Linked DNA regions of Diceros bicornis minor. The main gene of each other region encodes a partner of the protein of the gene in region 2 in a complex. Links are inferred from orthologs where the notes say so. Each region holds a gene or a part of one and is shown on either strand. Other genes may lie near its edges. The genes, in order: GINS2, MCM2, DNAJC9 and GINS4.

Region 1 (7,238 bases), on a different chromosome or scaffold from region 2:
TGTCAGGGCCCTGCTCTCATCCACCGGCTTGTTTCAGCTGAGGCTAGGGAAGGAAGAGTTACTGGAGGACGTGTTTTCCACTCGGCATTTGTCTTTTGCTGCCGTGACTGTAATTCTAGTCCCTCCTTAGCTGGGTCACACCACCAGCAGTTTGTCACCGCTCCACCTAAGTCATCCCCGAGACCACAGGAGGCTGGGCTCAGTTTATCAGAGCAGAGGCTCTTGGCCTCGGCAGAGGCCCAGGCCTGCCCCAGAGGTTCTGGTGTGGCCCTTCCATCCCTTCCATCCAGGTGTGGCCCAGGAGGTGATTCTCACGTGCAGGCAGAGCTAAGAGCCTGTGGAGCTTCTCGCCCACCTCCTCAGTTCTTCACTGTCATTCATTGTTTTTCTAGGCTGATGGTCTCCGCACTCTAAGAGAATTGCTCCCGGTGGCAGGGATTCAGACCTCAAGGTAGACTAATCAAGGATGGAAGGAACCCACTCTGTGTAGATGGACCCCAGGTCCTTCCCAGACATGCTCAACCCAAGGATTACCTGTGGGGATGCATCGTTAGGCCACTGGCCCAATGTCACTCACAGGAGTGAAAGACCCTTCAGAGGACCCCGGTCCCCATCCAGTCACTCATATTGTAAGTGCTTAATCTCCATATGGGGCTCGCAGCCACCCTACTGGACAGCTCAGCTACAGGAGATTTCCATCATTGCAGAAAGATCCACTGCTTTCAGATCAGACGTCCAAGTTGCTGACTCATTTTTGGAGCACTGTTCTGCGGCTTAAATTCTGTGACCAGAAGGTGTTGTAGTGCGGACCACCCTGAAGGGGGCAGTGGGTTCACGCTTCTGAGTGTTTTGAATCCTAGAGAGGCTTTTTCTTAAACTTTTTTTGGTAAGAATAGCTTTAGCTTTACAGAAAAGTTGCAAAGATAGTACAGAGGGTTCCCATATACCCCACACTCCGTTTCCCCTGTTGTTAATCTTCCTTTACTCTGGTCCATTTGTCACAACAAATGACCCAATTTTGATACATTGTTACTAATTAAAGTCCACATACTTTATTCACATTTCCTCGGTTTTTCCTTAATGCCTTTTTTCTGTTCCAGGCTCCCATCCCAATTTAGCTGACATGCCTCCTTAGGCTCCTCTGGGGATGACAGTTTTTTAACACCGTCTTTGGTGACCTTGGCAATTTTGAGGAGCGCTGGTCAGGTGTTTTGTAGACTGTCCTCTGTTAGGATTTGTCTGACATTTTTCTCCTGATGAGACTGGGGTTGTGGGTTTGGGGAGGAAGATCCCAGAGAGGAAGCGCCTACTCATCTGTCGTATCCAGGGTAGGTGCCCTCACCATGGCCTTCACTGCTAACGTTGACCTTGATCTCCTGGCTGAGTTCGTGGAGGTCAGATGTCTCCATGGTCGAAGGACTCTGTTTTTCCTGTTTCCATCCTGCCGTTTTTGGAAGGAAGTGGCTACAGAGCCCACCCTTCAGGAGTGGGGAGCATCTATCTGTCCACATCATGTGGGATTCTTCTGCATGGAGATTTGTCCCTTCGCCCCCTTTTATTTTGTCTCCAGCCCTTAATTCATTACCACATGGGTCACTCGAGACAGCTTGGGGAGGCGTTTTCAACAACAGGAAATAACGGTGTGAGGGCCCTGCCCACCCCATCTAAAGTAGCACCCCCACCTCCGTCATTCCCTGACTCCCTCCCCCCTCAGCTTTCCTCTTGTCTGTTTACTGTCTCCTTCCCCCACTTTGAGAGGCCAGCATGAGGCTGGGCATTCACAAGTCCTCTCTGGACCCTGGGAGTGGCTCAGAGCTGGACCGGATTGGGGCAAATCACTTCGCTTCCCAGTTTTCCCAATTAATACAACTTCCTAGGGGACGTGTTAAGTGTGTGGTTTCCACGAGTCAGAAAGTCTGAGCCTGGAGCCTAGGAAGGGGCATTTTAAATAACAGTTTTATTGAGGAATAATACACATATTATAAAATTCACTCTTTTAAAGTGTACAATTCAGTGTTTTTTTAGTATATTTATAGAGTTGTGCAACTACCACCACTATCTAATTCTAGAACATTTTTATCACCCCAAAAGAAACCCCATACCCATTAACAGTCACTCCCCACTCTCTGCTCCCCCAGCTCCTGGCAACCACTAAGCTAGTGTCTGTCTCTATGGATTTTTTATCTATTCTGGACAGTGCATGTAAATGGAGTCATATGGTTTGTGTGGCTGGCTTCTTTCATGTAGCATAAGGTTTTCAAGGTTCATCCACGTTGTAGCATGAATCGGCTTCATTCATGTTCACCGCTGAATAACATTCCATAGTATGACCACATTCTGTTTATCCATTCCTCCGCTGATGGACATGTGGGGCATTTCCACCTTGGGCTGTTGTGAATAGTGCTGCTGGGAAGGGAAAGACAAGCCCCCAAGTGACCCAGATGTACACTCAAGTTTGAGACTCCAAGATGCCACCATTTGCAGCGTGTAAAGCTGCACACTTGTTCTCTAGCAGCCCAGTGAGGTAAGCAGCAGCACTGTCCCCATGTTATAGATAAGGACACCGAGACTTGGGTGATGTGGACGCGGGACTCTGCTAGCCCTCCTACTCATCCCGCCACGGTCTCTCTGAACCTCAGCTTTCCCATCAGCTCTTTTCCTTTGCTCTTTTACCGCTGCGAAAATCCGGGAGGGAAGCCTTGCCAACTTTGGAATACAAATATTTGCCAGTCAAGAAAACATTCCACCATCAATCAAAACCCAGACAAGCTGGCACACACTCTCTGCAGATGCCCAAGGGAGCTTCTATTTCAGGAGGGGCCAGGTGGCCTGAGGCCTCCCCTCCTCCCCAAACACCCTGGAGCTCCTTCTTTTCCTACCTCACTTTGCAGATAAGGAGGCTGAGGTTCAGAGTGGTCACTTGCCCTCGGTCACACAGCATCCAGAGGGGCCTTTTACGTATTTTCTTTGAAAGTATTTGTCTTAATAAATGACACACAATGAAGGTAATCTCCAAGTCTGTAAATGACAATTTCCCAATGCAGATAAATAACAGACAGCTTTCCAGGCCGTGTGAGTGAGCAGAACTTAATTATGGCCTTATTTCATCTTCCCAACAACCTTACATGGGGCAGGTTTCAGGAGGGGTAAAGAGGAAAGCATGGGGTTATCTAGGGTGGGACAGCTCTCCTGTAGGGATACAGAACCCTGGAATCCCCATCACCTATGCTTTTTCTCAGGGCCTAATGATCCGGGTTTCAAATTCAAGTCCAGCCCACTGTTGTGGGCCTACACTGTTCCCATCAGTGCTACACTGGCTGCTTCACTCCCCAGGGAGCTTTCCTGGCCTACTTCCACCCATCAAAATCACCCTGGTCCTGTGAAAATTCAGCTTTCTGTCCGCACCCCAGACTCCTGAACCACAGTTCTCCAGGAGTGTGCGTGTTAACACTCAGAATCTTCTACGGATTCTGACCCGGGAGAGAAACACTGCCGTTACGTTTCACACGAGCCCACTGTACAGAGGGTCCCGTTCAATGAGCAGAGGAGCACATCAATACACATCCGCTCCAGTCGTGCAAACTTGTCTCCTCATGAGTCTCCCCCGGGGTGCTGCCAAAGCATGAATGCTGAGTTCTTCCCGCAGTTTCTGAATCAGAAGATGTGAGTGGGATGAACGAATCTGCATTTTTGTAGATTTCAAGCAATGTGTATAGAGAGGACGGAAGACTGTGAAAATAAGGGAAACAACGCCTTCCCTCACTCCGCTGGGCAGGGCCGTGTCTGTCTAGCCAAGTCACGCCGTGCCCCAATAAATGCATTTACTCCTGGCGGGCTGCGGGCCCCACTGTAGACGCACTCCGAGCTCCACCCCCAGCTGGACTCAGGGTGTTGGCGGGTAGGCGCCCGGGGCAGGTGAAGAGACATGGTGCCAGAGCAGGAGGCCCACGGCAGTCAGGTGCCCGGCCCACGCGACGGGCCGGGTCGGGACCCGGGAGGGGCGGGGCCGGGACGCGGGAGGGGCGGGGCCGGGGTACGAGAGGGGGTGAAGCCCGGGGGGGCGGGGTCTGCCCGCAGCCTCGCTCAAGCTCGCCAATCCGCGGGCTCGTAGCAGCCTCGGGCCCCGCCTCCTTCCGCCGCGCCGCGTTGCTATAGGCCCGCCGAGGCTTCTTCCGGCCGGGGGGCGGGTCCCGCGCGGTGGCGGGGAAAGCGGCGGCCGCGGCGCTTCCTCCCGGACGCTGAGGGTCGGAGGCGGCGGCCAGGCCCGGGCCGGCCGCTAGCGCTGCCATGGACGCGGCCGAGGTGGAGTTTCTGGCCGAGAAGGAGCTGGTTACCATTATCCCAAACTTCAGTCTGGACAAGATCTACCTCATCGGGGTGAGGGCGCGGACCGGGGCGGGCATTTGCCTCAGGACCCGGCGCCTGGGAGAGGCCGGGCCGCCGGGGGCCGGGGATGTGCGGACGCCGCCCCGCCTGCATCCCGCCCTCCTCTGCGCCGCCTCTCGGAGGGGCAGCCGGGCGGCGGGCTCGGTCGGCGCGGGCCTGCGCGGGCGGGGCGGCGGCTCCGGGGAGACCGGGCGCAGGGGGGCTCAGGCGGGCGGGCGCAGGCGGGCGCAGGTGCGCCGGGGCCGCCTTCCCGCGGGAGTGCGCGCCCTGGGCTCCGGCCTGTCCGCAGGGAGGTCGGTCGTGCCTCTGCCGCGCGGTCTTAGCGGTCCGTCTTCCTTCCGCAGGGGGACCTGGGCCCCTTTAACCCCGGCCTACCGGTGGACGTGCCCCTGTGGCTGGCCGTTAACCTGAAGCAACGCCAGAAGTGCCGGCTGGTTCCTCCCGCGTGGATGGACGTGGGTGAGGATGGGCGCGGGTGACTCCGTCCCGCCGCGCGGAGGCGCGGGTGGCCTGCGGCGAATTCACGGCCCCCGGCTCACGCCTTAGTCTGCTGACCGCTGCTGCTGCTGCGCCGTTAGTTTGGGGGTGTTGACCAATCTTCGTCCAGATTTTGGTTTTAGGATATTTCAGCTGGCTCTAAAATTAAGAATGTTCTATGACCGGGCCGGCCCGCGGCTTAGCGGTTAAGCGCGCGCTCCGCTGCTGGCGGCCGGGTTCGGATCCCGGCGCGCACTGACGCACCGCTTCTCCGGCCATGCTGAGGCCGCGTCCCACACACAGCAACTAGAAGGATGTGCAGCAGTGACATACAGCTATCTACTGGGGCTTTGGGGGGAAAATAAAATAAATAAAATCTTTAAAAAAAAGAAAGAAGCATTCGTTCTAATTTACGGGAAATGGGCACAGTCTGGCGTGTGGAGGAGAAGAGTCGCTGTCCGCGTGAAGACAGCGCGGCCCCGTGTGAGGGGCGGCCCTCGCCGTAGGCGGAGTGAAGCGCTGGGCGTGCTGCGGCGCCTGGGGAGCACACGCCGTGGGCAAGGAGGCCGCCAGGACGGCACGTCGGGTGTGCCGGTCCGTTCACGTGGCGGTTCCGGGCGGCAGACGGTGGTTGTCTGGGGCTGGGGTTTGCGGCTTGAAGGATTGTGGGGTTTCTTTTTGGGGTGATGGAAACGTTCTCAAGTTGATTGAAGTGATGGACGCACAACTCTGTGAATGTACTAAAAACCGCTTTGTTTTTTCTGTGGAGAAGATCAGCCCTGAGCTAACATCTGCCCATCCTCTTTTTTGCTGAGGAAGACTGGCCCTGGGGGCTAACATCCGTGCCATCTTCCTCCACTTTGTATGGGACGCTGCCACAGCATGGCTTGACAAGCGGTGCGTCCTCGGGGCCCTGGATCCGAACTGGGCTGCCAGCAGCAGAGCCTGCGCACTTAACCGCTACTCCAGGGGGCCGCCCCGAGTTGTACACTTTAAATGGGTGAATTGTCTGGTATGTTAAATATGCCCAAATAAAGCCGTTAAAAGAAAATAGTGCATCAAAGGTTCAGGTAGACTTTATCCTGAGCCTTTGCAGTCTTTCCCACCTCAGAGATATGAGTGGCTCATTATAGAGAAGAATCTTAATTTTATTTGGGGTAGGGGACATGTAGAATTTGAAAAGGCTGTGAGTTATGTTGATTGTTCCCTCCCTGGGGACACCTGGGAGTATTTCCCTCCTAGAAGCAAGGACACCTTCAGCGGCACTCGCAAATGTTTAAGAAAGACTGGGTATTTTCTCCTCACTCCCCGTCCTAAAGGGGTGAGTGTCTCTGGTGGTCCTGAAACATCATGGGAAACTAATTCCTTCTGCTTTGAAGGGCTTTTTTAGCAGGGAGCCCCACCACCCCTGCCTCCATTAGCACGGCATCCTCTTCGGGCAGTTTTGGCCCCTCCAAAGCCAAGGTGATGGGGGCGAGAGCCCACCTCACTGCAGGCCAGAGCCAGAGAGCAGGCGTGGAGCAAGTCAGCCTGAGCTTCCTGGGCCTGGGCCACAGTGTGGTGAGAGGTTGTGATACATCACTAGGCAGTAAGCCCTGCCTGAGAGCCGACTGCCCTCGGCTTCTGCCACTATGCTTAGTTTTGCCTGTTCTTGGACATCATACAAATGGAATCAAGTATGTCAATTTTTGGCTCTGACTTCTCTTATTCAATATAATGTTTTTGAGATTCGCCCCCATTGTCGCATTTGTCATTACATCTTTCTTCTGTTGCTGAGTAGTGTTTCATCCATTGTATGAGTTTTCCACAGTTTGGCCGCCCATTCTTCTGTTGGTGCATATTTGGGTTGTTTCCCATTTTTGGCTATTGTGAATAAGGCTACTATGAACATTCTTGGGCAAGTCTTTTTGTGGATGTGTGTTTTTATTTCTCTTGGGTAAATACATACCTAGAGTGGTGGAATTACTGGGTCATAGGACACACTGTGCTTAACTTGTAAGAGGCTGCCAACTGGCCCTGCAGAGTGGGTGAGCCATTATTAGAAGCCCACCAGAAATGTACGCGAGTTCCCATTGTTCCACACCCTGGCGGACGTTCCTTGTTGTCAGTCTTTGATTCGTTGCAGGGTTTGAACAGAGGTGTTTTATACTCTGATTTAGATGTTAAAAAAGAAAAGAATTGGTCTGTTGTGTAGAGAAGATGTGTGTGGGGAGAGGGCAGTGGGGAGTTACCCAGGCAAGGGCTAAGAGTGGTTGACCAGGTGCTGGAGGTGGGCAGATGTGGTTGGAGTCTAGGGGTATCTTGAAGAAAGAAGCAGCAGGATTTGCTGAAGGACAGGCCATGGGATCTGAAAGAGAAGAGTTAGGATGACCTCC
Region 2 (7,261 bases):
TGAAAAGATGCTCCACATCATTAATCACTAGAGAAATGCAAATCAAAACCCCAGTGAGACACCACCTCATACTCGTTAGGATAACTGTTATCAGAAACTAGAAAACAAGTGTTGGCAAGTATGTGGAGAAATTGGAACCCTCATACACCACTTGTAGGAATGTAAAATGGTGCAGCTGATTTGGAAAACACCCTGGCAGTTCCTCAAAAGATTAAAGAGAATTACCATATGATCCAGCAATTCCACTGCTAGGTACATGTCCATGAGAATTGAAAACATAACGTCCACAGAAAAACTTCATAGCAACATTATTCATAAGAGCCAAAAAGTGCAAAGAAACAAATGTCCACCAACTTATGAATAGATAAAAATGGCGTGTCCATACAATGGAATATTATTCAGCCACAAAAAGGATTGACTGAAGTACTGATAAAAGCTACAACACGGATGGACCTTGAAAACCACACTAAGTAAAAGAAGCCTGTTGCAAAAGGCCACATAGTATCGACTCCATTTGTATGAAATGGCCAGAATCGCAAATCTAAAATGACAGTAGATTATTGGTTGCCTAGGGGCTGGGACAGGAATGGGCATTAACTGTAAACAAGCACAAGAAATCTTACTGGGATGATAAAAATGTCTAAAACTGGATTGTGGTGATGGCTGCACAACTCAGGAAATTTACTAAAAAGCACTGAACTGTATTCTTACAAGGACTGAGTTTTATAATATAGAAATTACAGCTTAATAAAGTTGTTCTTAAAAAAGCCACAGAAACAAAATCCAATTGGGCCCAGCTCGCCCCCAGATACCTCTACCCAGAGGCCCCTGCAAAGAGCCTGTCCTTCTCTGGAGGGAGAAGCAAAGGGGAGTGGAAACAGAGGGCAGCTGGCAGGGGAGGGGCACCCTGCCTGAACAACTCCACAACGCACAACAGGGACCCTGCGTCCAGGGCTGGTTCTTCCAAAAACTCCTCATTCCTTCCACAGTCTGGCATGCACTGCACACCCAGTCTCATCACTTGGGGTGGTGGTGCTTAAGGCAAAGATCCAAATGGTCCAGAGTGCCCCTGAAAGTCCCTCGGATGGCCCTGGACTGTGGGATGGCCTGTAAGTCCTCTCATGCACACCAAGTCTGGAACCCCAAGTCAGAGGACAGAAAGGCCCAAAAGGAGACTCTCCATGAGGCTCCTGGGCATTCCCACAATTCCACTACGAATGTAGCTGCCACATCCTGGTTGTAAACACACGGAAAGGCCGCAGCAGAGAGGTAACCCTGCTCACTTGCAGAGCTGACTCCACTATCTTAGCATTAAGTGTCGATATGTGTTAATATGCATTTGTATGAAACTATCTAACACAGGGCCTGGTACGGATGAGGCACAACAAATGTTTGCTGGACTGAATCTAAATCTTGATTAATCACCCCTCCCCCAACTGTTTCTTTGCAGTTACAGAAAAACACTTGGCTGTCTGCTTCTTGTCCTTCCCGGCTGGTGTCCCTGACGCGCGCCCCTCTCCCCCAGATTAGGGACCCCTTGCACGCATCCCCTGGGGTGCCCTTCTCATGGAGTTAGGGCTTACCCAGGCCTCAGGGTTTAGTGTAAGTTAGACACATCCGTCGCAGCTCCATGAAGCTGTCTCCCCCCAGACCTTGGACCAAGACTCGCTCAAGCGCAAGGAAGCTCTGATCCATCTGCTTCCTCAGCACCCAAAACAAGGTCGCCAGACACACAGCGGGCTCCCTGCAAAACTATCAGCTGAGTGCAGGGCCTTGAGTGAAAATACCTCTCCATGCCATCTCCAATAAGCTCCTCTCCATCCTCTTCCTCTTCCTCCAGGGGCCCGTCTGTGCCTAGTAGCCCCTCCGACTCATCCTCAAAGGGAGGAAGGTCCCGGCCAGGACTGGAGGTCAGGGCATCAGTGCGCCGGGAGCTTCGCCCAGGGCTGGAGGTGAGAGGATCATTGCTTCGCCGACGCCCAGCTGGGCTGGACGCCATGGTGAAGGACTCAGATGATTCCTGCAACAGGAGATGGAGGAGGTGAGGGCTGAGGTAGCTTTCTGTACTGTGGCCCTCCCCACCCGTAAGGCCTCCCTCTCCACAGCCACCCTGTCCGCCAACGCTCCAAACCCGTTCCAGCCTCAAGACTTGCGCTTGCTGTTCCCTCTGCCTGGCAGGCTCTCCTCTGAGCTCTCTGAGCCAATGGCTTCTCCGCACAGGGGGACCAGCCCAAATAACACTTCCTCAAATGCTGTCACTCATATTACCCTGTTTTCTCCATGAGAAATCACTGAGGGTACATCATTTGTCTGTTTACCTGTATATCGTCTATTCCTCCCCTATAAGCATGCATTCTCACCCATTTGAGCACCCCCAGTGTGCCAGGCACTGTGACTGGACACGGGCTACAAAAGCGACCAAAACATAAGAGGTCTGGAACTTACAGAATGGTGGAGCGGACAGATAGTAAACAAGACAAAGGGACAAAAAATGTTACAGTAAGTGCATGAAGACGCAGGACTTGTCTGTCTTGTATACACACAGCGCCGGGCATACAGAGAGCGCCCAACAAGCATGTGCGGAGTGAATCAACGATAATGGCCGGGCGGGCTGGGCTCGGCCTAGGGAGTCCAGCGCTCCCAGGTTGGCGCGGGGGAGGAGGCATCACCAGGCAGACCGAAGCGGTGCGGGGCCCGCTGGTTTTGCAGGCCCCGCACGAGGGGAGTAAAGGAGAGAAATCAGCTCCATATGGAGCCCAGGGACCCGACCTCGTCCGGAGCACCGATCCGGGGCGGCGCGAGGGCGAGAGAACCAAAAGCTCGCAGCCCCCGCACCTTTGTTTCCGGCGCGCGCTCTGCACCGCCTGCCCGCGCCCCAGACCGCGCAGAGGCGCAGGCCGCGGGGACCACCCGCGCCCCCGGCCGGCGCAGACGTGCAGCGTCGCAGGGACCACCCGCCGGCCCCCACGCCCACGCCCCACCCGCGCCCCCCGCATGGCAGACACGCAGGCCCGCAGGGACCACCGGCGCGCTCACCGCCATCGCAGCGCCCCGAACCTCTCTGCTTCTCCAGCAACTACCAGTTTTCGCGCGAAAATTGGCCCACGTGACCCGGCCGAGCCCGGGAAGAGTCTGACGGAATACGGCGTCATGACGTCGGTGTCCCTTTGCGTCAAGCCGGCGCGCAGAGGGCGGGCCGGAGGGGGCTCCGCCCACGCCACCCCGCGGTCTCGCCCACGCTGCCCGAGGCGCACCCCCACGTGCTGGACGGCGGGCGGCCTGTGCTCTGCGCTGCCCTGACCAGGAAAGGTGTGGGAGTGGAAGCTGCGGGTTGGGGCAGCGAGGACCAGTCCCACCTGCTGTTTGCGTGACCTTGGTCACGGTATGGTTGTTTTTCAGACGAGGCAACGGAGGCTGAGAGTCTTGTTTTTTGAGGTCGTCTTACTGTGTCATGAGCGGACAGCCCCTTTCCACTTCCCTAAAAGCTCTCAGGCTGGACGCTTGGAGCACCAAAACGCTCTGAGATTGTAGGAGGCCACATGTGGTGTTCTACTAAATTGTCTTCACCGAGGGGAGCAGAGATGCAGGGAGGATGCCAGATAGAAAGAACGTCGTCTGGAGTTCTGGTTAAAGAGCGTGTGATGCTCAGGAAGGGGCAAGGCTTGAGATCAGAGAGCCCAGGTCGCTTCAGATCTCCAAGTCTTTCTGGGGAGTTTTAGCTTTATCCTGAGGGCAGTGGAGAGGTGCAGAAAGGTTTTAAGCAGGGTGAGAGGAGAGCCAGTGTGGGCTTTAGGAGAATTCCTCAGGCTGCCCCCGGTGGAGGTGGAGGCGGATTGCTGCGGGTCTTCCTAGTTACAGGCAGCTTGGGCTAGGGTGGGTTGCTCGGTGAGCAGGGCAGGGCTGGATCTCCGCCCTCTTCGCCTGGTGCTTTTGTGCGATGAACAGGCATCTCTGGATAGACCCTGGGATAGGGGGAGGAGTGATGTTGAGGACTGGAAATATCCGAGAGATATTTAGGAGATATAGTCTATTGGCCTTGGGGATGGAGGACATTAAAAGGGAGGCAACCAGGAGAACAGCAGGATTCTGGTTCAGGAGTCTAGGCAGACGATGGCACTACCTCTCAGATGAGGAAGGCAAGAGGAAGACAAGAAAGTTTGGGGGGAAAGAGGGTGAGTTTGTTTCTGGCTGTGTTGAATGTGGCCCCTGAGTAGAGATGTCCAAGAGGCCAGAGATATCCTGGATGTTCAGGTCTGGGGCTCGAGAGGAAGCTTGGGCTGCAGCCGCCACTGGGGAGTGGCTGGCTAATCCAGAGAGCGAGTTCAGTGAGAAGAGAAGGCCTAGGCCTAGGACCCGGAAAACCCCAACAGTTAAGCAGCACCAACAAAGGATGCTGGGCAGGAGCTGGGATGCTGGGAGCTGCTGAGGGAGAAGCCAGAGCAGAGATTGTGGGTGGGGTTGTATTAATTATCCATTGTCGCCTAGCAAATTATCCTGCAATCTAGCAGTTTCAAACAGTTACCATGTATTCTCTCCATGTCTGTGGGTCCAGGATCCAGGCCTGGTTCAGGTGGGCGCCTCTGCCTCACTGTCTCGCACAGTGCTGCACTCAAGGTGCTGGCCCGGGCTGCAGGCCCATTTGAAGGCTCAGCTCAAGGAGGACCTGCTTCCAAGCTCCCTCATGGGGTGGGATTCAGTTCCCCCCAGGCTGCTGGACAAGGACCGTTTCACACTGGCTCTTGGGTGGGGGTCTCCTCAGTTCCTTGTTATGTGGGCCTCGCCATAGCGCAGCTCACAACATGGCAGCTGGCTTTGCTCAGAGGAAGTGAATGAGGGTGAGAGAGGCCATACAAGCCGGAAGCCATGGGCCAGAAGTGACATCCCCTCACTTTTACCATCTTCTGTTTGTTAGAAGCAAGTCGCTAGGGCTAGCCCACATCAAGGGCGGGGGTTCATTGGGGGCCATCTCAGAGGCTGCCCACCAGGGTAGATGGGGTCAGCAGGTGACAAGCTGCCAAGAAGTCAAGTTTGGTAAGGACTAGGGGCCATTGGTGTCTCTGGCTGTGCGGGATTGGTGTCGGACACCACGTTGGAGTGTGTTGAGGAGTAGGGTGCAGGGAGTGAGAAGGTGACTGTGGACAAATCTGTGGAGAAGCTGAGCTGTGGGAGGTGGGGCAGTGACTGGGGAGGGATGCAGGGCTGGGGAAGGACTGTTTTTGAGATGACATACCTGGGCATGTTTAAATGCGAATGGGAGGGAGGCTAGGAGAAATGGTAAGGTGGAAGAGGGTGGGGTGCAGCCTCTCTTATGGCCCCCAATGATCCCTGCCCTCTGGTATTCACACCTTTTTATAATCTCCTTCCCATTGTACCAGAGTTGGTCTGTGTGACCAATAGCATCCGACAGAAGTGATTAGATATCACTTCAGATTAAGTGATTAGGTGATTCACCAGATCACTCACTCTGAGGGAAGCCAGCTGCCATGTCCTGAGGACACACAACCAGCCCTGTGACAGGCCCACGGAGTGAGGAAGCCAGGACCCCAGCCAATAGCCGTGTTGGACCCACTCTGGGTGCACATCACCCTGGGGATTTTTCTCACATCAGTAGGCATCCAGCACTGAACATCATCAAGGATAAGTCTGCTTCCCAACTTCTGCTTCCACCATCCGCAGCCTGTGGCTTTCATCCCTGAGGTCTCCACACGGCTGCTTCCCCTCCAGGCCTTGCCTCTGACCCACAGAATGAGCCAGCTCATCTCTGAGCAAGCTCAGCCTCCCCCTCCTTTGTCAGCTGTCTGAGGGACCTGCCAGTCAGCCATAGGTGTGAATGAGGGAGAGGCACTAGTGTGACAGTGGTAGATGACGTGGATCTGCCATGGATCGCTTACCGTCATGCTATGGCTGGCTGCTGGGCCCACATGAATTTACAAGTGGGCCTGATAGAACCCAGTTCATGAGGGGCAGCTCTGGCCTCCTGGTCACTTGATGCTCCCTAGTCATCTCTGCCAGGGTCCAGTAGCCTGGTGGAGTTGTTCTTTGGATTTGTGTGTAGTTTGCTGTAGAAGGCCTGGCCTCGCTCTAGAACCCTGGGGAGCGACATTGTGGTTTTCCCAGGAGGGCTTGCCCTGACTTTTACACAGCATCTTTTCCTCCCACCATTAGAGGGCTTCTCATATCATAGGGTTTGAGGGGCCTGTGGCCTCTGGGACAGCCTTTCCTGCTGTGAGCCTCACTCAAAGCTGGAAGCCTTTTATGTCACCCAGAGATGTATGGGTCAGAGCAGCATTTCCAGGTGTGGAATATGCTGCCTCTAGAACCCAAAGAGTGGATTCTGGCGTTGTGCTTCCTTTCTTGTGATGGGGTGTGCAAGATGCAGTCATTTGTCCTTTACTTTGGAGAGGATGTCCTGCTATGCCCCAGACCACTAGACCCCTACAAACTTCACCGATGTGCCAAGCCCCCAAATCTTCATAGAGTTCATCTTCCACCCTTTGGAGCATGTATGTCTCATCAAGGTCTTCATTTGCTTGTTCCTTCTTGTACGTCCGGCAAGGTTAGCAGGATGTCATCAATATAATAAACCGATGCACTGTTCTGCAGAACGTTCAGATGGCCAGGGCCCTTCAGACTATGTATACTGTGACAGAGGGTGAGAGAGTGACCGTAGGCCTGGGGCAAGACCATAAATGTAAACTGCTGTCCCTCCCTGTGAATGATAGGGGTGGCATCCTGATAGGGACAGTCATCGCAGGCGGCCCACTGCTACCTGAGCCACGTTGATCTGTGCTAGCAGTGACAGCAGCACAGCAGCTGCCATTGGGCTACTACTTGGTTGGGTTTGCAGCAACCTACTCCTATTCTCTGTATGTTTTAAAGGCCAGACTGATGAATTAAATAGGGATACGGTGGGGTCTACCTCCCCATATGCTTTAGGTCTTCGAGGGAGGCCCTGATCTCTGCTGTTTTCCCTGGTATGTGATATTGTTTTTTATTTACTATCTTGGCTGAGGCAGGTGGGGGGAGAGGACATTTCAGGGGCTTTTACTTGACTTTCACCTCTGTGAAAACTCTCATCGCCCAGACAAAGGAACCAGTGTTGGCATTCTGCCGCCTACTGACTATGTCCATCCAGTGACCTATTCCACCTTCCTGGCTGCTCCTTTGACCTCGATGGTTGCATGACGATTGTACCCACTTTGCTTCTCACGGCTGAGCACTGCCATCTCATCTCTATTACTTTGGGATCCCCAGTTCTGTA
Region 3 (8,229 bases), on a different chromosome or scaffold from region 2:
CCTTGAAAAGAAATGAAGATTTTGTTATTAAGAAAGGACAGAGTGAGTATGCAGAAGGCAACTAGATACCTCTACTACACATCTAGATTCTAAAATTAAGTTCAGATCTATTGTCTTTGATTCTTCTCTGTCTCTTGCCAAATGGGAATATTATACATTGGTCAAGATATGTTGGGTGATAATGTGAACTCCTTTAAAAATAAACTTTATTAAAGTTATTTTACAAAACAATGCACAAATTGTGAGTGTTCATACCACTTGATGAATTTTCACAAAGTGAGCATGTCCATGTAACCAGCACAATGTTCTGAGGTCTTTTAATGGAGTTACCATGAAATAGGGGATATAGGAAGAACCAATTCCATCCCAAATAATTATGGTCTTGAGCTGTGGCCTTGCAAATGAGGGGTCTCCACACAGGTATATCAGATATGACACCTGTTCTTCCCTTCTTTCCTCTTATGCAGCTGAAATTGAAAGACGAGGCTCTGCTTGCCGAGATCCACAAGGTACAGGAGACAGTTGGCTTTGGAAACCCATCTTTCTGATATCCTTCCAGCTGAAGAATTTTCTGTATAGGACTCTGAGCTCCTTTCCTTCCCAGAGAAATTAAACCCTGGAAGTTTCACCATATGAGGCCTGGAGATGGAGAACAAAAGAATCTTCACCATAAACAGAAACCCATTCACTTATTCCCATTGGCTGTCTTACTGGATGGCTACATTACTGGATGTTTTACTGGTTAACAGTAAACTGAATGACAATAAAAAATGGAAATAAGAAATTCAAAATTCATCAGTATGGTTCTGGAGTTAAGGTATACTGAGGTATATATAGGAATATAAGGTATAGTGGGTTCATTATTAGGGTTTCTGATGAAAGCTTATCAGGATCACTCCTGGAGGAAGTCAACTACTAAGGTCCTTGGCCAGGTTCACTTAGTGGAACTTGGGAATTAAGGCATCATTTTCTAAGGTGGGCCTAAAGGAAGACTGCTATGCTGGGTCACTATGTTACTGCACAAAATTGGGGTTCTCTGCCTGATGCACATAAACAAGCCAATTAATTATGGCATCAGCCTTCAGGGGAGAAATCAGCTTTTATTCTGTGAGTTCGATCTGCAGGGAGACAAGGGGCATGTGCCCTGAGATCTGTCTTCCTGATTCAGGATTTGGGGCAAAATTTAAGAGGTTAGGGAGAATAGGCTGGCACGTGGAAATGCTAGTGGCACAGGCTTTGATTGGTGGGCTTCAAGCATTTATGGTAAGCTTTTATTTTATTTTATTTTATTTTACTTATTTTTTTGTGAGGAAGATCAGCCCTGAGCTAACATCCATGCTAATTCTCCTCTTTTTGCTGAGGAAGACCAGCTCTGGGCTAACATCTATTGCCAATCCTCTTCCTTTTTTTTTCCCCCCAAGGCCCCAGTAGATAGTTGTATGTCATAGTTGCACATCCTTCTAGTTGCTGTATGTGGGAGTATGTGGGACGCAGCCTCAGCATGGCCGGAGAAGCAGTGCGTCAGTGCGCGCCTGGGATCCGAACTCTGGGCCGCCTGTAGCGGAGCGCGCGCACTTAACCGCTAAGCCATGGGGCCGGCCCCTATGGTAAGGTTTTAAACATTTATGACAAGGTTCTCAACATTTATGATGGGGTTCTAAACATTTTTGATGAGGTGGGGAAGGAATTTTAACACTGGATCTTCCTGAATGAGGGACCCCTTGCTTCTGATAAGAGTCTAGCTTTCAAGTTCTGGTCACAGCACCGTCCTTGGGTTCCATGGGGAGGAGGATCTTAGTTCTGAGGTCATTTCAGGTCATGATTTCTTCTTTTACACAGGCTCTGGCTACATGACTTTGCAATTTTTATGAAAGACAAGTCAATCTGTTGGTAAGAGATGGGGTCAGCTGAACTGGTCCTAGAGGGCCTGCGGTTACAACTACATTAGGGCAAAGAGCATATGAGTTGTGCCCAGGCCCTTTGGATCCAACAGAGAAGCTCAACAGAGAGGTCTCTGCTGACTGTGGAGGTGCTGACTCCCTCTGACCACAGGCATCTTCATGGATCTAAACCACAAGGGCTCCATTTAGAGTCCATTACCCTGTAATAGATGCAAAATTCCTCACAACTGAGGCCATCATTCTAGGGCTAGAGATGACAAATCACACTTCACCCCTGTCCTCCTGGATCACTGCACAGCAGAAATCAGGAATAAAGTCTCCCCTTCCTTTATTTTTTAAAAGAGGAGGTGGAGATACTAGGAGGGAAGGCAGAAGGCATATTAGTAAACACAGAAGGATAATAAAACTCTACATTTATAGTCCTTCTGTAGCCTCGGCCCTAAGGCTACCTCCTTTATGAAGTCTTCCTGAGGCACCAAGGAAGTATCAGGTTCACCTTCTCCTCTGCTCCCCCAGGACTGTGTACTGACCACCCCTAGTTATGCTGGTGTAACCTCACCGTCTCCCCATCAGATTGAGCTTCCTAGGAGAAGGGACAGCGCCTTTTCATTTTTGCGTTCTCAGCACCGTGCTTTGGCCCTAACAGGTGCTCAAAAAACGTCTGCAGCAAGGATGGATTTATGGAGCACTTTATCACTTTTAGCAGTACTCCTCGCTCCCCCAGGCGCTCACAGGCTACGGAGGGCCGGCAACGCCCACCGGCCTCAGCTCGCACTGCCACCCCCGGGGCACGCAAATGGAGCGCGCCTGTCCCCGGCAGTTTAAGGTTCGGTCGGGTTCACCGCGCTGCGTTCAGGGAAGTGCAGGGGCGGAGAGCGGAAGAGGCGGGGCCGGCGCGCTGTCCGCGTGCGACGGCGAGGCGCTTGGCGGTCGGTCGCGGAGGGGTGAGGCCCGCGGTCGCGCAGCGTCGGCCGTCCGCCGCCCCGCCCCAGGCCGTGGAGCTGCTGCGTGCGGGCGGCGGGAGCTCCGAGACGCCGCGCCTGGCGCACAGGGCCCGGGGCACGCCGGCTGCGCCATGGTCCAGCTCAGTGAGTGATCGGGCCGAGAGACCTCCCTGCGGTGCGGGGTGGGGGCGTGCGGGACCTGGTGGGGCAGCGCTCTTCCCAGGTGAGCGGGAGGCAGCCCGAACCTGCAACAGCCTTACATGTGATCCTCCTCTCAGTTTTTTTCTCACCGAAACCCTATGAGCTAGATGGCATTCATTTTATAGATGACGCAGCTGAGGCTCCGACATGGTCACAGAGCCAGTAAAGGGCAGGCCTTTGCTGAGGGGATTAGGGGATGAGGAGGAAGTCGTTTCTGGCTGGAGTGCATGGATAGTATCTACGCCGGATTGACAAGAATTAGTTGGAAGTAAGGACATTTCAGTGGAGGGAGATTGTTTCATCTACCTCGTTTTGTGCCCTCAGTTCTTTTGTCTTAACTACTTATTTCTCTATAGCTACTCTCCTCTGCAGAGCCTACCACGGAGGCCACTTAACCATTCGCCTTGCCCTGGGCGGCTGTACCAACCGGCCTTTCTACCGCATCGTGGCTGCTCACAACAAGTGTCCCAGGGATGGCCGTTTTGTGGAGCAGCTGGGCTCCTATGATCCACTGCCCAACAGTCATGGAGAGAAACTCGTTGCTCTCAACCTGGAACGGATCCGGCATTGGATCGGCTGTGGAGCCCACCTCTCTAAGCCTGTGGAAAAGCTTCTGGGTAACTCAACTCTAGCCTTACCTCATTGAAGAGATTTTAAATTGAAGTCAGTTCCAGGATGATGAGAATAAAGAATGATTTTCATCATCTCTAGGCTGCTCAGGACTGGAGTGAAAGCTGAAGTTGTGATCTAATTGCCACTTTGAATCTGACTCCTTTATGGACTTTTTGGGTGACTTGTATTTTATGGTAAAAATGAGAATAGTGTGTCTTGAATGGCCATTTGTCAGTTTGTCTTTTATTCAAGTAAGGAGAATAGTGTTAGGAAGTAGACAACATCCATTGTCTCCTTAAAGTAAATGGAGAGGAGGGAGCTGGGGAGAAGTAAGACAGGTTGCAGGGTGAGGAGCATGTTTTAAATCCATGCTCTAGGTCAGGTCTCTGTGAGACCTCAGTTCTGTGAGGCTGAATTCCCAGGGAAACATTGGCTTGTACTGTATTGTAATGAATGAAAATCCTGTTGCTTTTAGGTCTTTCAGGCTTTTTCCCTCTGCATCCCATGATGATCACAAATGCTGAGAGACTGCGACGGAAACGAGCACGAGAAGTCCTCTTAGCCACTCAGAAAACAGATACAGAGGCTATAGAAACAAAAGCAATCTGACTTCAGTGAGCAGTGGGAACAAAGTCAAAGTCCTCTTAAAACACCTGTGCAGAGCTCTTAATTTTATCAGATTTAGAGGTCAATAAATGGAGTTTTTTAAGTCACCTATGCTCTTCTGGCCTGTCCTGAGCAGGGCCTAGGGAGGGATTTGTTCCTGTCTGATGTAGAGCTTGGTCTAGGTACTGATGAGCTTTTTCAGCCTCCTCTGGGGAAAGACAGTAGCTGTGGGTTGGGTTGGACATTTGGGTTGGGCCTTAGGCCTCTCGGACAACTTATAGTCTGCTGCCTTCCAAGACTTCCGTGTTTCAAAGCCGCCAACCAGCATGTCTATAGCCTAGCCACGTAATTCCTTTCTTAATCCTTTATGGTCATCCTACCAGCTCAAGAACACAGTTACTTCACTTATTTTTGTAATTGCAGATTTATATTGTCTTGCTTGATACATAATCTTAAATTGACAAAGGTAGATTTGTTATGGGTGTAATAGCCTACTTGTTAAGAATGAAAACCTGGAAGAAAGCTAATATTGTAAAGTAAACTACATACATTCTAAGCCCTTTACAAACAAGGTTATTTGTGAGGATTATAAGGGATCATGAAATTAGGTAGGATTATTTCCATTTTACAGATGGGGAAGCTCAGGTTCAGAGGTGGAAGCTTGCCCAAGACCACATAGTTCTAATATTGGGCAGAGCTAAGATTCAGACTCCAGTGTGCCTACCTGGAGGACTGGAGAGCCCTTTCTAACATATATTGGTGGGGGGCAGTGGGGAGCAGGGTGCATAAGCAAAGATGAGGGGCTTTTCAAAAGTCCACTTAAAAAGTCAGTGATAGAATCAGGTTTAGGTATCATGAGTTTGGTAATACAAATGACTGGCTGTGCCAAAAAACACAGAATATCACATTTTCTGCTCTACCAGAAGCACAGGATTCTACAACCACAAGCATGGATTAGGTGGTTTTAGTGCACACTCTGGATAATACAGATTATTTCAAATTCTGGTGTAAGTCTAGGATATAGGGAATTTATAGAGATTTTAAAACCCTATCAATGTACCAACTTAATTCTCTGGGTTTTATATTCTGAGAACAATTACCAGCCACCTCAAATTTGGGGTCATCAAAGCTTCCCCCAGGGTTGTTACTGGTTGGCTTCCACTTGCTTTGCAGAGACTTTGAAGGCAGGTCAGGCAGAAAGGAACTGACTTTCCTCAGTTTAATCTTGGATCTAGGGAAGAAAAATGCTTTGAAAACCATAGGAATTCTGGAAATTTAAAAGATATTAATCTACCCTGGAGAGTTTGAGATCTTTGGAGAAGCTTAATTGGTAGAACAGAGGAGAATGTGATTCTGAAAAGTATTGACCAGTGAGGGGAACTGAGGTGAAATGGATTAAGGTAAGGTATTATTTTGAGCTACTGATTTTCTGCCAACTTAAGTGTTCACTTTGTGCCCTGGTCTTTCCTTTGCCTAAGCTGTGTATAGACGTACTTCTGTGAGCTGATCCTCTCCCTGATTTCCAGAGTTTTATCTAGCTCTTGCTTTGGATCTCACCACGGCCCAGATTCTCAGCATGTCTTGGATAATTGCATCAGCCTATCTTGCTACCACATCAAATCCAACATGCTCAAACTCAGCTCTGCAGTTTAGAAAGCATTTTTTTTCTTTTTAAAAAAAGAGCCTTTGCTTCAGCAGCTTATATTTTTATTAGGGTGAAGGTGTGGGTCATGTTATCTCCACCAAAGTGGAAGGTGATTCAGGAGCTGGAAGGTGAATGGGAATGATCCTGTAATAAATGTCAAATTTATAAATCCTATAAGGAGTTTTTAAAAGACCAGTATTTTATGTTTTTTGTTTAATGTAGGCGTTTTTCTTGCAGGGCTGTAGGGAAGTACCCACCTAGCAATTCCAACCTGTAGGCAAAATTATTTGGGCTTTAGTGCTCTATGTACTCCTGTCAGGATCATCTTTGAAAAAAGAACAAATCTATTTAACCGTTAGGTTGAACCATGTAAAATTGCCAAATGCCGATGTTATGCCGTTTTTTACTTAAAAACAAAACAGCAATGTATAGGTTCAACCTAATATGGACGTTCCATTTACTACTGAATAAGCTTCTGCGCTGGGACATTGGGGAGAAGATAGGCGCCGGATGTCCAGAGTGAGTGGAGGAGAGGGCGTGGTAGCAGCTGGGATACACCCACTTCCTGCGCAGAAACGTTCCCGCGCTGGGAGAGACCGGGACGCCGGCTCCGCTCCACCGCAATCCAGGCCGACGCCAGTCTGGCCACGCCCCGTTTGCAGCCGCCGTAAAGCTCGGCGTCCTGGCCACGCCTCTTCCCGCGCCTCTTGTGACGCAGGCGTCCTGAGCGTTTTGCGCGGGAAAAGGAAGCAGGCCGGAGCTCTAGCCGGTGCCGCTGGAACGGGCTGTTTTGCCGGAGAGCTCCGCTTGCGCCTTACCGTTGCCGGCCATGGGGCTGCTGGAGCTGTGCGAGGAAGTGTTCGGCACCGCCGACCTTTACCGGGTGTTGGGCGTGCGACGCGAGGCCTCAGACAGCGAGGTCCGACGCGGCTACCGCAAGGTGTCCCTGCAGGTGCACCCGGACCGGGTGGGCGAGGGCGACAAGGAGGACGCCACCCGTCGCTTCCAGGTAAGCGAGTCCCCGCTCTACCGGCCGCCCGGCCCCGCCAGGTTGGAGTGCGCTGAACCCAGCCTGGAGTTTTCTAATCTTTATTTCTCGCGGCGCGGTTTTAGTGAGAGGTGCGGGAGTGACACTTGCATGCTCTTTTTTCGCAGATCCTCGGGAGAGTATATTCCGTTCTAAGTGACAAAGAGCAGAAAGCAGTGTACGATGAGCAGGGAACAGTGGACGAGGATTCTGATGTGCTCAACCAAGATCGGGACTGGGAGACGTATTGGAGGTTACTCTTTAAAAAGGTAGGGGACTCTGGAGATTTCTTTGTGACCGTTCCCATCATTCATTCAACAAACGACTTTTGAATGCCTCTAAGGCCTTGCATTTTGTATCGTCTAGGAGTGAGGAATTTGGCCTGGAAATATAAATACACACACACAGGCATTCCTCAGGAGATACACATATATGTCTGGAGAACAGACCTATTTAACCCATTAGGTTGAACTAGGTGTATATATACATACAGGCACGCACACACACTTAGTGAAATGAGTTTTTAATTTCCTGTTGAGTTGATTGTAGTGAAAGCGGGGGATTTAATTTTTTACAAGATGCTTTATTTTACATATCCAAATGTAAGTCCTGAGTATTTTTCTGAGTCTTTTCTCACCTTTGGAAACTTCACTTAAATTTTCTGGTCCCAGTTTTGCAGTTGGGAAGATTGGACCACAGAGAACTCTGGAAAAGCTTTGGCAGAGAAAATTTGGTTCCTTGCAAGAATTTCAACTGAAGCAAGTCTAATATTTTGGGAGAAACATTTCAACATCTAAATCTAGTTTTATTAGTATACCTTTTATTTAAAATAAAATTCTCAAAGTTAAAGCGTATGTGCCTTATTTGTTCAGATATCTCTAGAAGACATTCAAGCTTTTGAAAAGACATACAAAGGTTCTGAAGAAGAGCTGGCTGATATTAAACAGGCCTATCTGGACTTCAAGGGCGACATGGATCAGATTATGGAGTCTGTGCTGTGTGTGCAGTACACAGAGGAACCCAGAATAAGGAACATAATTCAGCAAGCCATTGATGCTGGAGAGGTCCCATCCTTTAACGCCTTTGTCAAAGAATCAAAGCGAAAGATGAATGCAAGGAAAAGGAGGGTAAGATTTTGAATGCTATTTATTATTTATATCTTGATTGCTTACAAAAAGAATTGAGGATACTTACAATAATGGAAATATATACAAGACTGCTGAAGTAAGGATAAGGGTTAACTTATTTAGTTCTTATCTAGTAAAATGAGCGTACCTGTTCATCAAGAGCAGC
Region 4 (7,078 bases), on a different chromosome or scaffold from region 2:
AAAATTTTAAAATAAATCTTACTGTGTCTTGTCAGCTCAGGGGAACAATTACCTATGCACAGATTAACTCAATTGTATTCTAAGAGTTGTCGCTGCACAGAAAAATTATTTCAAAAAACTTTAGTCTGAAGTGGAATGACCTATTACATTAGTTATGTGAAGTTCTCAAAATGGTGCCATGTCTGTGATCCATTAACACAAAGAGAAGTAAGACATTAAAATGAAAAGAAATGCGTGATATTTTGATACAGGGTACACTCAAACAAGGCTCCCCTTTAGCCTTTTCCTATGACTATAGTCAAGCCTTTTCCTATGGCGTCATATTTAAAAACAAAAAAGAGCATTGGCCTAAGCTGAGAGCATTTAGAAATGCTGAGTTTGGCCTGGTTTTCATTTAGACCTAAAGACAATTCCCTAGGGTAAATTACATGAACCCTAATAAACATGAAGACCTGCCCGGCACTTAGACATAGCAGCTTTTCATCAGATGTTCATGACATAAAGGCACATGAATTTCTTGATGGAAAGGTCACATTTCTCTTTGCTTGACTCTTACCGAAAAAAATCATTTTACCTGCTAAATGCTATATTGGCCATAGTTTTTCAGAAGGTAAATTTTGTTTAAAAAAACAAAAAGGAAAATTCATGGTGGTTGTATATTCTGCAATAAATAAATGACAGTACAGTTTCTGTATCTCCTCACAGTGTTTCACATCCATCTCTCTTGGAACTTATTCCTTCTTCCTGCAGACTATGCTCACATGTCACCTCCTCAAGGAGGCTGCTATAGGCTCAAGATTCGTGTCCCCACAATATTCATATATTTAAATCCTAACCCCCAAGGTGCTGGTATTAGGAGGTGGGGTCTTGGAGGTGATTAAGTCTTGAGGGCAGACTCATGAATGAGATTAGTGCCCTTATAAAAGTTGCCCAGAATGCTCCCTTGCTCCTTCCACCATGTGAGGATACAGTGAAAAGACAGCCATGTAGGAGGTGGGCCCTCACCAGACACTGACTCTGTCAGTGCTGAGATCTTGGACATCCTAGCCTCTGGAATTGTGAGAAATAAATTTCTGTTCTTGATAAGCCACCTAATCTCTGGCATTTTGTTATAGTAGCCCAAGCGTGCTAAGACAGATGCCTCCCCAACCGTCTAAGACAGAGGCCTCCCCGCCCTCAATGTTCTCTATCTGTTACCCAACTTTATTTCATCACCACCTGACAAATAATTATTGTTTGTTTATTGTCTGTCTCCATCACAAGGTCTATGTTTCCTATTCCCTGCTTTATCTTTAGCACCTACACAGGGCCTGGCAGGAGATTCTCAAATATAACTAGATGCTCAAGAAATATTTGTGGAAAGAAGAATTAATGCATGAATAAATGAGGGGCACTGTGCTAGATGTGGGGGGTGCCTTCAGGGAATTCACAATCTAATAGAAGAAACAGACATGTTCATACTGCAATGTAGCATGATAAATGTTGTAACAGAATAGTAACATACATGGTGACCTAAAGAAGGGGTGGATGTGTTAGGGATGGTTTCACAGAAGAAGAGATACTTTGGCTGAGTCTTGAAGGATGCATAGGAGTTCATCAGGTGGTGAAATGGAAAGAGAGAAGCCTGGAAAGAGGCAACAGCATGTGCAAAGAAAGGAGACAAAAAATCCCTCCTGTCCAACTTTTGACATAACTGGAGCAAAGGGTGTAAGGGAGGAAGCTGTAAACTTCAAGAAAATCAGCAGCACTGTTTTCAGCCAGAGTGACTGAAATTGTCCTACTTCTCTCAAGGGAATTTACCCACCCTCCAACAGCCTGCTTCAGCACAGCTGTCTAAGCCTGTGGGCAGTGAGGTGTAGCCCACAGGTGTTCTGTCTGCCATCCTCAGAGGAAAATTTCAAGGGTGTAAAATGGCCACAGTGGGATGAGAGAACATCATCTTACTCTGTGCTTGAGGAGGCCACAGCCTTTGGCAGGTGTCGATGCCTCCGTCAATGTCACTGTGAACCCTTATTGACAAAGTCAAGGCGAATGGAGGAGATGGCATCTACAGGGTCTGTGCCCAGGCTTGGGAAGCCTTTGTTAGAGCTCAAACTTGAAGCCAAATGTTCTACTTCCTGGATCAGCTTTCTTTTCAGAAGATGTGAGTACCCCTCCACAGCAAACTGACACTTTTTTGTTATAAGGCTGAGAATAGTTATTCTTAAGAATATTCTTAAGTTATGAGAAAAAAGCATCCTCCTATTAACCAAGAGAAAACAAAATACAGAGGCAGAGGTAGGGTTTATGTGTCTGTGCCAGAAACTAGGATTACATTTAGACAAACTTTGAAAAGTTTATACCTTTATTGGGGACATATATGGTTTAATTTAATGTGTTTGAATTCAAGATGAGATTTGAGTAAGGGATAGGAGCTAAAAGTCTGAGGCGAAAGGGAATTAGGAACATCACAAATTGCTCCAATCTTACATTTGTCACGGAGATCCATGCCTGGCCTGGCCTCCTGAGATTTCCAGCATCTCAGCCATGCAAGCAGGTATGGGGTTTTACCGCTGGCCAGAAAAATACTTGCAAATTCACCAGTTAACAGCTTTCCTTGAGAGGCTAAAAGGAAACATGAATTTTTCTGCCTTCCTTAAAAATGCAAGTTTCCTTCTACTTTCCTGTCCTTAGTCCAAATCTTCATTCGTTCAGATCAACTGGAGGTTAAACTTTGCTTAACTAATACCCTCTCCAAAACTTAGTGCTTTGCTTCTTAGGATAGTGAGACCAGGAATGTAATGGAATTCGGAGGAAGGAAACAGTGACAAACAGCTGGACCAAATGAGCAAGGGCAGTGACGAAGGCAGAACAGTAATGATGGTATTACCTTTTCAAAAGCATCTTTCTCCAAAAAGCATCTCACAATACTGTATAGATACATAAATTTTGTCTTTTTTCCTTGGTGATTGAAAAAAAATAGATTCATTCTTATTAATGTATATTTCTATAGCTATCCACAAACATTTTGGCTGTTTCTATTTGCTGTGTCTATAACAGCAGTGAATTTCTTCATTGAGCACCATCTGGAAATTGCATTGACTGTTCACTTTCTTTCATTGTATAGGGTCCTATTTTCTGTATCCTCTCCAACTTGGGGCAGTAGCTTTTTCCTTCTTTTGCCATGTTTGTAGCTCGACGTTTTACTTGTCTGAATTCATGTCAGCACGAATATATACATATATGCTTTTACATATATATGCTTTTGTCTTACATTAAAGGTAGAAGGCATAAGCAGTAGATATCAAAATATCCTAGAGAGTCAAGCAGCTGAGATGGAAGCATTGCCTAAAGCAGTGGTTCTCCAACCTCCCCTGCATCAGACTCACGGAGTCTGTTAAACCACCCCTAGAGTTTCTGATTCAGCAGGGCTGGCCGGGGCCTGAGAATCTGCATTCTCACGGGTTCCCAGACGACCTTGCTGCTGGTGGTCTGGTACCGCGCTTTAAGAACCACCAGCCCAGCTGTTTTTAGAACTGGAAGTAGTGGCCATAGCTGAAGCCCTGGCAAAGAAGGAACCAGAAGGGCCACAGAGCGGTGGGTGGAGAGCACGACCCAAGAGACGGTATTGGCCTGATTTTAACAGAGCCCATATCTCTGTCGTCCAACCCCCCACCCGCTCCCACCCCACCAGCCAGGACATACTCTGGCGATTGCACCCCGGTGGCCGGGAGGCCGACACCGCCGAGCGTCCTCAGCCGCGGTGGCGAGGCGCCCCCTCCCGACGGTCCCTGGGCGGCGCCAGCCGGGACCCCACTGCGGCGCGGCGGGCCAAGGCGGGCGAGGCTCACCCGAGCCAGCCTGCCGCCGCCTCCCTTCAAGAGGGCGCTGCAGAGCGAGCCGCAGAGGCCAAGCCCCGCCCCCGGGTGGACGGAGCCTCTGGGCCGTGATTGGCCAGCGCCGCCCGTGCGCGGTGACGTCATGCCTGGGCGGAGAGTTTCTGAGGGGAGCGCGGGAGCTGCAGAGGAGGTTTGGGTACGTCCGGGAAAGGCCTCCAACGGCGTGTTTGGCGGCCGGGTGCTCCTTGGGAGAGCCCGGCGCTTCCCCACGCGCTTCCGGTGCTAGCCGCGTGCTACCTCGGAGTGTCTCTCTGCCTCCTGGGTGAGCATCCGCGTGGGACCTCTGGTGGGTGGGTGTGTGTGTGTCGGGGAGAGTGGGGAGGGGGCCGCTGTGCTCGCGGCGCCGAGCGAGGAGAGGAGCGGGAGGGTACGCTCTCAGTTTCTGAGGCTCCGGGGACTGCCCTTGGCCCCACCACCCGCCTTCCTGAGCCGTTGGGGTCACTGGCCGGCCTGATGTCGCTGGGCCTTGCGGCCCTAGGGAACGAGGCGTTGGTTAGCTCTCCCAGCAGTTGTAAATGCCTGCTGTGAGTTAAGCACGGTGCTAAGCGCAGGGACTACGCAGGTAACTATGGCCCCAGTACTTAGAAGTGCCAGGCACAGAGCGGATGGTGGTTCATACTTGAGCTGAAGAGCACACAGCCCCTGAGGAAAGGACCGCTGCTGGGAAGGCAGACAGGTGGTTATCACGTGGTGTGATGTACCAGTGTACCGTTCGTGGTGCACGTGGAAACGCTTCTAAGGGGTGACCTCTTTGAGAAACTAATACTTGACCTCAGGTTTGGAGGAAGAGGCAAAGAATTATAAAATCAAAGTCTGTGAATTCTCTAGCTACTGCCAGTGAGCCTCTACAACCCCAGTTGTAGATACATAGTTGCCTGTTCTTGCAAATAAATGGAAAACACGTTGCAGGGTATTAGTTCTTTTATTCTCATTAGGTTCCTGGTTTCAGAGAAGATGGCAGAGGAACTGGATCTCACGGGACAGGACTCTGATGGGGGTAGTGAGGAGGTGGTCCTGACTCCTGCAGAGCTCATTGAAAGGCTGGAGCAGGTAAGCACCTCAAATAGAGTCCCCTTGCTCCAATCTTAGCCCTTTTATTTAGCCCAACTATGCAAATGTCGGGAATCAGAAAACGAGGAAATGGAATTCAAGGCTTATTTCAAGAGAAGAGGGACTAGATTTTACCATCTACACAGAAATAGGAAGTAGTGGGGACAGGCTTTGTTAGAAACTTCATAATGTCAAATACAAAATCTTCAAGTGGGGCCAATAAGGGACAGCTTTGGGCACATTGAATAAAACAGTTCATAGAAAAGGATCTACTTGGTATTTGTGGGGACTGCAGAGGTTTTGTGGTGGAGACTTGTAAGTTCTAAACCTTAGTCCCTGAAACATCTGCTGTTTCCCTGTAGAATGCTTGGGTTAGCAAGAAAGTGCTGGAACACCTTTAGGAAAAAACTGCTCTTATTTTTCCTTTTCCTCCCATATACTTGCTTTTGTCAGCTGTTCTCTTTTTCCACTGGCTATCTAAAATCATTTCTGGGATATTTCTCCTTTTAGTCATGATAGCCATGGTTTATTGAGCATTTCCGGTGTCCCAGTAACTGTGTTAAGTTACTTACAGTCACTATCTCGTGGAGCTCTGGAAGATAGGAGTTCAGACTATCTGTGTTTAGATCCCTCCATGCCACTAGTCTATTATGTGACCTTAGGCAAGTTATATAGCTTGTCTCAAGCACTTCTTTGACTGTAAAATGGAGTTAATAATAGTGGCTACCTCACAGAGTTGCTGGGAGGATTAAATGAGGTAATATATGTAAAGTGCTTGGCAGATTGCCTGACACGTGATAAGCACTCACTGAATGTTGGCTGTGAGCAGTAATAATCCTTACAACAACCCAGTGAGGCAGGGGTTATTGTTATCTCCATTTTACAGATGAGGAACCTGAAGCTTAGAGATGTCAGGTAATTTGCCCAAGGTCACACAGTGGCAGCAGATCAGGATACGACCCAAGTCTCTTTGACGCCAAAACGTGTGCTCTTAATCCACTACACCTGCTGCCTTGTTCTCATCTTCTCCCTTTAACTGCCCCTTTCCAGAACTCGCTCGTTTGTTACTTTAGTATTCTTCATTTTTTCCTACCAAACATGCCATCATGAGTGACAAAACTGAAGGAAGATAATTTTAAAATTATACCTTATATGATAATCCTGACCATATAGCAGTTACTCTTAATTTGTTTTAATATCACAGACCTTTTTGAGACTCTAGTGAAAAGTCTGGCCCTTCTTCCCAGAATAGTATATATATACACCCATGCAGAATGCTGCATATCATTTCAGGAGGTTCTCAGACACCTGAAATCTGCCCACCTAGTCTGTGGAGCCCAGTTGAAGAGCCCCTGCTTTATTAGGAAAGGGTTCACTAAACAAAAATCACAAAGCATAAAGGAAAAAACTGATACATTCAACTACATTAAAATTAAGAACTTCTGTTTTTACACCTTGGTAAGAGTAAAAAGACATGCTGCAAAACTGGGAGAAAACATTTCAAAATATGTAACTGACAAAAGGTTAGTATCCACAATACATAAACAAACTTCAAAAACTGCCCCAACGAAGAATGAAATCTTAACAGGCATCTCCCAGAAGCAGAAACCAGAATGGCCAATAATCATATGAAAAAGATGTTCAACCTTTCTAGTAATCAGGAAAATGAAGATTTAAATCTCTATGAGATATTGCTTCATATTCATCAGATTGGTAGAAATGAAAAAGTGAACAATATAGAGCATTGGCAAGGATATAGAGCAATTTGCACATTTGTATACTGCCCTGGGCATGTAAATTGGTCACTCTGGAAAAGAATTTGTTATTGTCTAGTCAAGTTAAAGGCACACATATCTTGTGGCCCAGTCATTCTACTCCCAGCTACATGCCCTAGAGAAAACTTACACGTGTACTCCAGGAGACATGCACAAAGTTTTCATAGCATTGCTTGTGATAGTTAAAAACTGAAATAACCCAGATATCCATCAAGAATAGAATGGATGAAAAATTGTGGCGTAGACACACAATGGGAAAAAAGATGGTAATAAAATGAGTAAAAGCTCCTGCAGCAGCATGAAGAACTCTCAGGAACACCATGTAGAACAACAGGAAATAAGTTGCTGAAGAAACATAAATATATGTCAAGTTCA

What was found.
Region 1: MCM2 (region 2) and GINS2 share a complex: the UniProt entries of both Homo sapiens proteins name them as parts of the CMG helicase complex. The link is inferred for Diceros bicornis minor from reciprocal best matches to the Homo sapiens genes MCM2 and GINS2.
Region 3: the proteins of MCM2 (region 2) and DNAJC9 are in contact, whole or in part, in a crystal structure (PDB 7CJ0), measured with the Homo sapiens proteins. The link is inferred for Diceros bicornis minor from reciprocal best matches to the Homo sapiens genes MCM2 and DNAJC9. Residues at the interface, in NP_004517.2 of Homo sapiens: Glu65, Glu66, Glu67, Asp68, Glu104; in NP_056005.1 of Homo sapiens: Lys185, Arg189, Arg192, Lys244.
Region 4: MCM2 (region 2) and GINS4 share a complex: the UniProt entries of both Homo sapiens proteins name them as parts of the CMG helicase complex. The link is inferred for Diceros bicornis minor from reciprocal best matches to the Homo sapiens genes MCM2 and GINS4.

What each region holds. Positions count from the first base shown.
Region 1 is NC_080771.1:34,513,993-34,521,230, reverse strand, and holds the start of GINS2 (DNA replication complex GINS protein PSF2), read left to right. Parts: upstream 1-4,235; 5' UTR 4,236-4,287; coding exon 4,288-4,377; intron 4,378-4,730; coding exon 4,731-4,845; intron 4,846-7,238. UniProt on the Homo sapiens protein: Required for correct functioning of the GINS complex, a complex that plays an essential role in the initiation of DNA replication, and progression of DNA replication forks.
Region 2 is NC_080741.1:92,291,134-92,298,394, reverse strand, and holds the start of MCM2 (DNA replication licensing factor MCM2), read right to left. Parts: upstream 3,130-7,261; 5' UTR 3,043-3,129; coding exon 3,037-3,042; intron 2,021-3,036; coding exon 1,788-2,020; intron 1-1,787. UniProt on the Homo sapiens protein: Acts as a component of the MCM2-7 complex (MCM complex) which is the replicative helicase essential for 'once per cell cycle' DNA replication initiation and elongation in eukaryotic cells.
Region 3 is NC_080745.1:33,277,190-33,285,418, forward strand, and holds the start of DNAJC9 (dnaJ homolog subfamily C member 9), read left to right. Parts: upstream 1-5,071; 5' UTR 5,072-6,738; coding exon 6,739-6,918; intron 6,919-7,064; coding exon 7,065-7,205; intron 7,206-7,808; coding exon 7,809-8,063; intron 8,064-8,229. Other genes in the region: CFAP70 (cilia- and flagella-associated protein 70), read left to right, coding at 468-548; MRPS16 (small ribosomal subunit protein bS16m), read left to right, coding at 2,698-2,989, 3,403-3,663, 4,134-4,267.
Region 4 is NC_080768.1:38,708,866-38,715,943, forward strand, and holds the start of GINS4 (DNA replication complex GINS protein SLD5), read left to right. Parts: upstream 1-4,017; 5' UTR 4,018-4,140; intron 4,141-4,813; 5' UTR 4,814-4,832; coding exon 4,833-4,928; intron 4,929-7,078. UniProt on the Homo sapiens protein: Required for correct functioning of the GINS complex, a complex that plays an essential role in the initiation of DNA replication, and progression of DNA replication forks.